Sus scrofa: one gene and its partner. The protein of the gene in region 2 binds, or shares a complex with, the protein of the main gene of each other region. Links are inferred from orthologs where the notes say so. Each region holds a gene or a part of one and is shown on either strand. Other genes may lie near its edges. The genes, in order: POLR2C and GTF2F1.

The links.
Region 1: GTF2F1 (region 2) and POLR2C share a complex: the UniProt entries of both Homo sapiens proteins name them as parts of the TBP-based Pol II pre-initiation complex. The link is inferred for Sus scrofa from reciprocal best matches to the Homo sapiens genes GTF2F1 and POLR2C.

Annotation. Positions count from the first base shown.
Region 1 is NC_010448.4:19,396,447-19,399,285, reverse strand, and holds part of POLR2C (DNA-directed RNA polymerase II subunit RPB3), read right to left. Parts: intron 1,051-2,839; coding exon 922-1,050; intron 460-921; coding exon 408-459; intron 276-407; coding exon 107-275; intron 1-106. UniProt on the Homo sapiens protein: Core component of RNA polymerase II (Pol II), a DNA-dependent RNA polymerase which synthesizes mRNA precursors and many functional non-coding RNAs using the four ribonucleoside triphosphates as substrates.
Region 2 is NC_010444.4:72,686,359-72,690,669, reverse strand, and holds the start of GTF2F1 (general transcription factor IIF subunit 1), read right to left. Parts: upstream 3,058-4,311; 5' UTR 2,663-3,057; coding exon 2,651-2,662; intron 2,567-2,650; coding exon 2,520-2,566; intron 1,774-2,519; coding exon 1,701-1,773; intron 5-1,700; coding exon 1-4. UniProt on the Homo sapiens protein: TFIIF is a general transcription initiation factor that binds to RNA polymerase II and helps to recruit it to the initiation complex in collaboration with TFIIB. It promotes transcription elongation.

The DNA of each region.
Region 1 (2,839 bases), on a different chromosome or scaffold from region 2:
TGCCCAGGTCTCATGGTGAGGTGCCCCACCTCAGTCGCCAGGAGCCACTTCCACACCCGCCCAACCCTGACCTGCCTGCCTCTCCTCACTCCCACCAGGAACATACCATTCCTCCGGCTTGGGGTACACCGTGTGCCTCAGGGCATTGTCGGGATCATATTCAAAAGCCACCCCTGCAGTGGGGTTCCACTTGGCGTGTTCCTTGCCAAAGCCCTTTTTGGCGTAGGCGCGAAGTCTCAGCTCCTGGCCCTTCCTCAGCTTGACGATGAGGATGTCTGCGGGGAGAGGGGAGAGGTGGGCGAGGGCCAGCAGAGGCCTGGTTCTCCGCAGTTTGACCCGCGCCGCCACTGCAGGACCAGGCAGCACGAGAGGCTGGGTCTGGTCTCTGCCTCTCTTGGGCCCCTTACCGTCCTGCTCCACGTAGTCACTGGGGTCATTATCTCGGTTCCGGGATGTCACCTGCAGGGAACCCAAACAGGCATTATTAGCTGCTGCTCAATGTCCCCATGCACCTCTGCTGGTTGGGGATTTGGCACTGCCATGAGCTGCGGTGCAGGTCACAGATGCAGCTCGGATCCCGCGTTGCTGTGGCTATGGTGTAGGCCAGCGGCTACAGCTCCGATTCGACCCCTGGACTGGAAACCTCAACATGCCTCGGGTGCAGCCCTAAAAAGAGAAAAGACAAAAAACAAAACAGTACCACAGCCTTCAAAGGGTCCTTGGGAGACAGGGGGCCCAGAGCACCAACAATGGCTCTGCCCACCCTGGCAAGACTCCAGAATCAGCACTTCCAGGCACCAGGCTGAGGTTAAGGCAGAGGGCACACAGGGAAAGCCAGTGTTTTATAAGGAGCCACCCGAGTCTGGTCCACTCGGAGCCAAGAGAAGAGCAAAGGCCCTGGGCAGGGAGGATGTCGCTGACCGGAATGACCCGGGGGCTGTTGGAGATGAGGTCTCGGGATGTGACGTGACGCGTCTGGTCTTCGTTGCACCGCACATCGAGGGTGAACTCCACCGAGCACTCGGGGCAGAACTCCTCACAAGTGCAGTCCTGAGGCAGGAAGAGAGGCAGGAGTGAGTCTAGAGAGATGGCGAATCCCGGCCTGGCTCCCTGCTTCTAACACCCCGTCCCTTAAGGTCCTTCCCTGGGAGAGGGCAGAGCACAGCCTCCAGGCTCCCGTGGGCTGTGTCCATCCCACACGCCATTCTCGGGCTGCTCAAGGGCAGGCTCGTCCCAGCTCAGAGACAGCTGTGTCTACCCCCCGCGCAACACCAGGCCACCACCAGGAGATGCACTAACATCTCACCCTACCCTCAGAGCACTCTTCTTCTAGAACCAAGGCACTGAGAGAGGAGGCAGCTTTCATCCTGCACAGCTCTGTGTCCCATAAGCTAAGTGACTGGCTTAGGAAAGCCATCACCATTTAAAAGGAAATAATCCAGGGAACAAGAAAAAATCTATCTTTTAAGTTCCAGACTACAGACCTTCTCTAAAAAAAAAGTCACAGGTAATGTATGAATTTATGGAAATTTTCATACATTCACAGAAGCAGAGAAGACTTAAGAGACTGTCACTATGTAACCATCACTCAGCTTCATTAACTTTCAAGTGTGCCATTCTTTACACTGATTCTTAAACATTCCCGTGTTAGAGACGAGCTGCTACCATTTAACCTCAGGCAAAAAGAGTTACTAGAATGTAATCAAGCAAACCTTCCCACTTCCTACCAGTGAAGAAAATCCAACCTACTTTTTGTTGTTTTCAAGACAATGAGGAAGAACTAGGGCCCACACCTGGTCAATTTGCAATCACACACTGCTGAGGCAGGAAGACAGCCTAGGCCCTCAAGACTGCATCATTCTTAGGAATATGAAATTAAAAGTATTCAATCTCAAAAAAAAAAAAAGTATAATAAAAAAAGGAGTCTGAGAGATCAAGAGAATAAAAAGGTATAATAACTAAATGCAATCTTGATTGGATCACAGACCCACAGACAAAAACCAGTTAGGACATTTTGAGGATAACTTGGAAAATCTGAATTTGGACTGTATATTGATAGTACAAATCAATGCTAGATTTCTCTTTTTTTTGGCTTTTTAGGGCCGCACCCGTGGCGGAAGTTTCCAGGCTAGGGGTTGAAGTGGAGCTACAGCTGCTGGTTTACACCACAGCCACAGCAGCTCAGAATCCATGTCAGTGACCTACACCACAGCTCACAGCAACACCAGATCCTTAACCCACTGAGCGAGGCCAGGGATGGAACTGTGTCCTCATGGATACTGGTCAGGCTGTCGCAAGGGAACTTCCAACGCTAAATTTCTTAGGCATGATGACAGTGTGCCTACACAGGAAAATACCTTATTTTTAGGACATGAATGTTGATGTAATTAGGGGAAAAGTGTCACGATATCTGCAACATTCTCTCAGAAGAAGAGAAAAAATAACATATGAAGAATAAAGCAAGTAGCAAAATATTGACAACTGGAAATTATAGGTGAAAAGAGAATAAGTAGTCTATCTTCAACCTTTCTATAGCTTTTCAGAAACAAACAAAAAAACCCCATACCATCTTTGTTCAGTAAATGTAATACTACAAAAAATGAAATTCAATGGAATTTGTAGGTCATAAGGGGATTCATATCTTTATATAAGATGTTGACAAATTGCTCTTCAATTGGTTGTACAAATGTCCCCACCAGTACATGTGATGCTCTACTTCTTAAAAACAAAAATCTGGAGATGTGAAGCAACAAAATGGTGTGAAAAATGTGACAAGTGCTTTGGAGGGAGCATGACTATGTTACATTTGCTTCACACTCTGCTGTGTGTTTGAATATTT
Region 2 (4,311 bases):
GGGCCTGAGGGATCAGGGAGCAACACCTCTCATGAGGGAGCCTGCCCTCGCCCCCCTCTGCCCCTGCCAACGACACCCCTTCCTCCCTTCCAAGTTGAGAAGTGGCCATTCAGAGCTGATTTCTGGCTTGGCCAAAAGGTGCTCAGTGACTGTGGGTAAAGGGATCTAGGTTAAGCCCTGTACTATGTCTCTTTTTTGCAGCTTTTTGAAAGTTTGAAGTCATTTCGTAATGTAAAGTTTAAAAAAAAAAAAAAAAAAAAAAAAAGGAAAGAGGAGTTTCTGCTATGGAGCTGTGGGATCCATGCTGTTTCTGCAGCACCAGTACACAGGTTCACCAGAACAGTGAGTTAAGGATCCAGCGTTGCCACAGCTGCACACTGCGGCTGGGATTTGATCCCTGACCAGGGAACTCCATGTGCCATGAGGCAGCAAAAAAGAAAGTAAGAAAAAGAATTTTTAAAAAGAAAAGTCAGAATCCAGCCACTTCTCATAAGCTGTTTGCTCCAAGCCCCATCAAGGCTCACCTCCCCCTGTTCTCCCCTGTTCTCCTTTCACCTGCCTTTGACCCTTCAGTGGCCAGTTCACTTTACAATTTCTCTGTTTAACCTTTAATGGCTGCTGTTATGGATGGATGTCTGCGTCCCCCCAAGATGCATATGTTAAAACCTAATTTCCAGTGTGATGATATTTAGGACGGGTCCTGCCAGTGATTAGGTTATGAGGTTGGAGCCTTATGAATGGGATGAGCGCCCTTAAAAAGGATCCCAGGAGTTCCTGTCATGGTGCAGTGGAAACAAATCTGACTAGGAACCATGATGTTGCGGGTTTGATCCCTGGCTTCACTCAATGGGTTAAGGATCCGGCGTTGCCATGAGCTGTGGTGTAGGTTGCAGACATGGCTCGGTTCTGGCATTGCTGTGGCTGTGGTTCTGGTGTAGGCTGGTGGCTACAGTTCTGATTTGACCCTTAGCCTGGGAACCTCCATATGCCGTGGTTGCGGCCCTAAAAAGACCAAAAAAAAAAAAAAAAAAAAAAGGACCCCAGAGGAGTTCCCTTGTGGTGCAGCAGGTTAAGGATCTAGCGTTGTCACTGCAGTGGCACAGGTCACTGCTGGTGCTCGGGTTTGATCTTTGGCCTGACAAATTCTGCATGCCACGGAAAAAAAAAAAAAAAAAAAAAGGATCCCAGAGAGCTCCTTCCCCCTTCTACCAAGCAAGGACACAGTGAAATGAGCCAGGTGTGAACCAGGAAGCAGAGCCCCACCAGACACCAAACCTATTGGTCCCTTATCTTAGACTTCTAGCCTCCAGAACTGTGAGAAATAAATTTCTACTGTTGAGAAACCACAGTCTCTGGTATTCTGCTATAGCCTCCTGAATGAGCTAAGACAGCTCCCAAAGCCCTTGCTAGAGCCTCTGACAATGGGGGCTCTTAGAGCATCTGTAGGAGGCAGCCCCCTCCCTTGCCCAGATAAATCCAGGCCCAAGATGCCCACTGGTAGGCACAGCTCCTTTCAGGAGAAAACCTCCTGCATTTACCCCTCAGGCATGCTCAGCAACTTGGCCTCGGCCTTAGTCATCACTTATCTCCATGGTGAAGAGCTGAGGAAGCTAAGCCTTGGTTACTATCACAACTAAACAACTATAACAACCACAAAGTCCATGATTGGGTTCTCTCACCCCCTCCGAACCTCAACATACCTGATTCCAAGTAGCAAGATTGACTTTATCAGCTGCATTGAAGGCCATGATATTATATTTTTTGGTGGTATTTCTGGAATGGACATGAAGAGGCAGTGCTCAGTCATTCATTCAGTAAACCCTCCCTGGCTCAGCCCTTTGTGTCAGGCAATGCTGGGGACCCATAAAAGACCTCAGAGGTTCCCAGTCTGTTGGCAAAGTGGGATCCATATTCTCAACTCCATTCAGAAAAACGGACAAAGATTTCTAGGAACCCAAGATCTGGCGCTAACTGGGAACTCAGCCCTAGGCAAGGGGGGTGAGGTGGCAGATAGGGAATATAGTGGAACTAGGATTTCCAGGATCAACAAGAATCCACCCAGCAGTCACAGTGGGCAGTGGCAGAGGGAATGCTAGGTAGGGGGGCTGCATCATACCGGCACTGTTTTTGTTTTGTTTTTTGCTTTTTAAAAGGGCCAAACCGGCCACATACAGAAGTTCCTAGGGTCTAAACGGAGCTGCAGCTGCCAGCCTACACCACAGCCACAGCAACACTGGATCCTTAAACCACTGAGTGAGGCCAGGGATTGAACCCGCATCCTCATGGATATTAGCTGGGTTTCTTACCTCTAAGCCACACGGAACTCCCCATACTGTGTATTAATAATGCACCCATTCGTTCATTCATTCACTCTCTTCAAAAAACAGTGATGCCCCAGACACCTCGGCTCAACCTCAGCCCTGCCCTTAGATTGCTACCGGTCTGGAAGGAGAATCAGGAGGTGCCTGAAGGCTTAGTCCCTTTTGGGAGGAGACGGGGAACTGGGGTCTGGGACTTACTTGGGAACTCGGACAACATATTCAGTGACATTCTGGCTGCAGGGGCCCTGAGGGGAGAGAAAGCAGTGCAGTGAGTGAGGGAGTATAAAGGCTGCAGCCAGGACCCCGGAAACCCCTCGCCTTACACTTACGAGGGCCGCCATGGGCGATGCGCAATGGTAGAAATCTGGTCGGATCCTCGTCCTTTTCGACTCCCCCGGGATGAGGGTCTCTAGGTCCCGCGGAAGCCGCCCTCGAGGTTTCGGCTCTCTGGTCCCTGATCGAGAACCCCGAGCCGCCAATCCTAGGAAAAACTATCCGGGGGTGGCGCTGGAACAGCGGTCAGCCTCTGAGGCCTCTCGTGCCACGTCTGCGCCTGCGCAGCCACTTAAACCGGAAGCGAAACTCTCCCGTGGGCCGCGTCACAGGCTCCGAATCTGACTTAAAAGCAACACCTACTACTGCTCCTGCACCAGCTGACTGCAATATATAGTGCGGATAACTCAATCACGCTGTATAGTAACACCCCGCTCGTGACGTCCCAATTAAGGACCGCGGGGCATCTTGGGAAGGGGTGGAGAAACAAGCCTTTTTCCTGGCCGCCCAGAAGCCTTGCGCATGCGCTACTCCACTCCGGAAGTGAGTCCGAGGAGGCCGCGTTACCATGGTGCCTGAGACCTCCTTCGCACGGAAACACTGCGGCTCCACCTGAGTCTCTTTGGTGTTCATTTTTTCCCTAAGCCCCAGGAGGGAAACCATAATCTCGTCAAGTGATCGGGCCAGGAGCCCTTGTGACGTTGGAACCGAGCCAGGAGGGGTCAAGGCCTGGGTGGGGATCACCCCACCGGCCGCTGGCGGAGTGGGTCTGTGCAAGTTCAAGCTGCACAGATGGCCAGGGCCCTGAGGCCCCAGAAGGGTAACATCGCGGAGGTGGCTGGCTAACTGGATGGAAGGGAAGGAGGCTATGGAGGGCAGGAGAGAGGTACGAGAGGTACGAGTACCCTCCCTGTCCAATTCCAGGTGTGCACACACCCCTCCCCCACCATGTAGTAACACAACTGCGCATGCTCGCATGCTCGGGACCAGCCATTCTTCCATCCACTTTCAGCACCTGCTGGCTGGGTTCTGGGCAGTTCATGGTGAATATGACAAACCATCTCCTGTCCTCTTGGAGGTTGTGGTGGATTATACAGTCTCGGAAAATGATACCTACAAGCCAGGAAGAACAGGGCTGCTACGGGGAAAGAGCAGGTGGCTCAGGGAGGAGGGACTTTTTTTTTCTTTTTGTCTTTTTCCAGGGCCGCACCCGCGGCATATGGAGGTTCCTAGGCTAGGGGTCCAATCGGAGCTGTAGCCGCCGGCCTACGCCACAGCCACAGCAACGCGGGATCCGAGCCGCATCTGTGACCTACACCACAGCTCATGGAAACACCGGATCCTTAACCCACTGAGCAAGGCCAGGGATCGAACCCGAAACCTCATGGTTCCTAGTTGGATTCGTTAACCACTGAGCCACGACGGGAACTCCAAGAGGGACGTTTTAAACTAGGAGTTGGCTAAGCAAAGACACCAAAACTGCACCATAAACTACAGCACTCCATGGGTGGGTCTGATAGTTATGGACTTTCATTTATTCCTTACCCAATACCATACGTCAGAAACCACACCAACTACTTAGAAATATAGAGACGGGGAGTTCCATCGTGGTGCACCAGAAACAAATCCGACTAGGAACCATGAGGTTGTGGGTTTGATCCCTGGCCTTGCTCAGTGGGTTAAGGATCTGGCGTTGCTGTGAGCTGTGGTGTAGGTC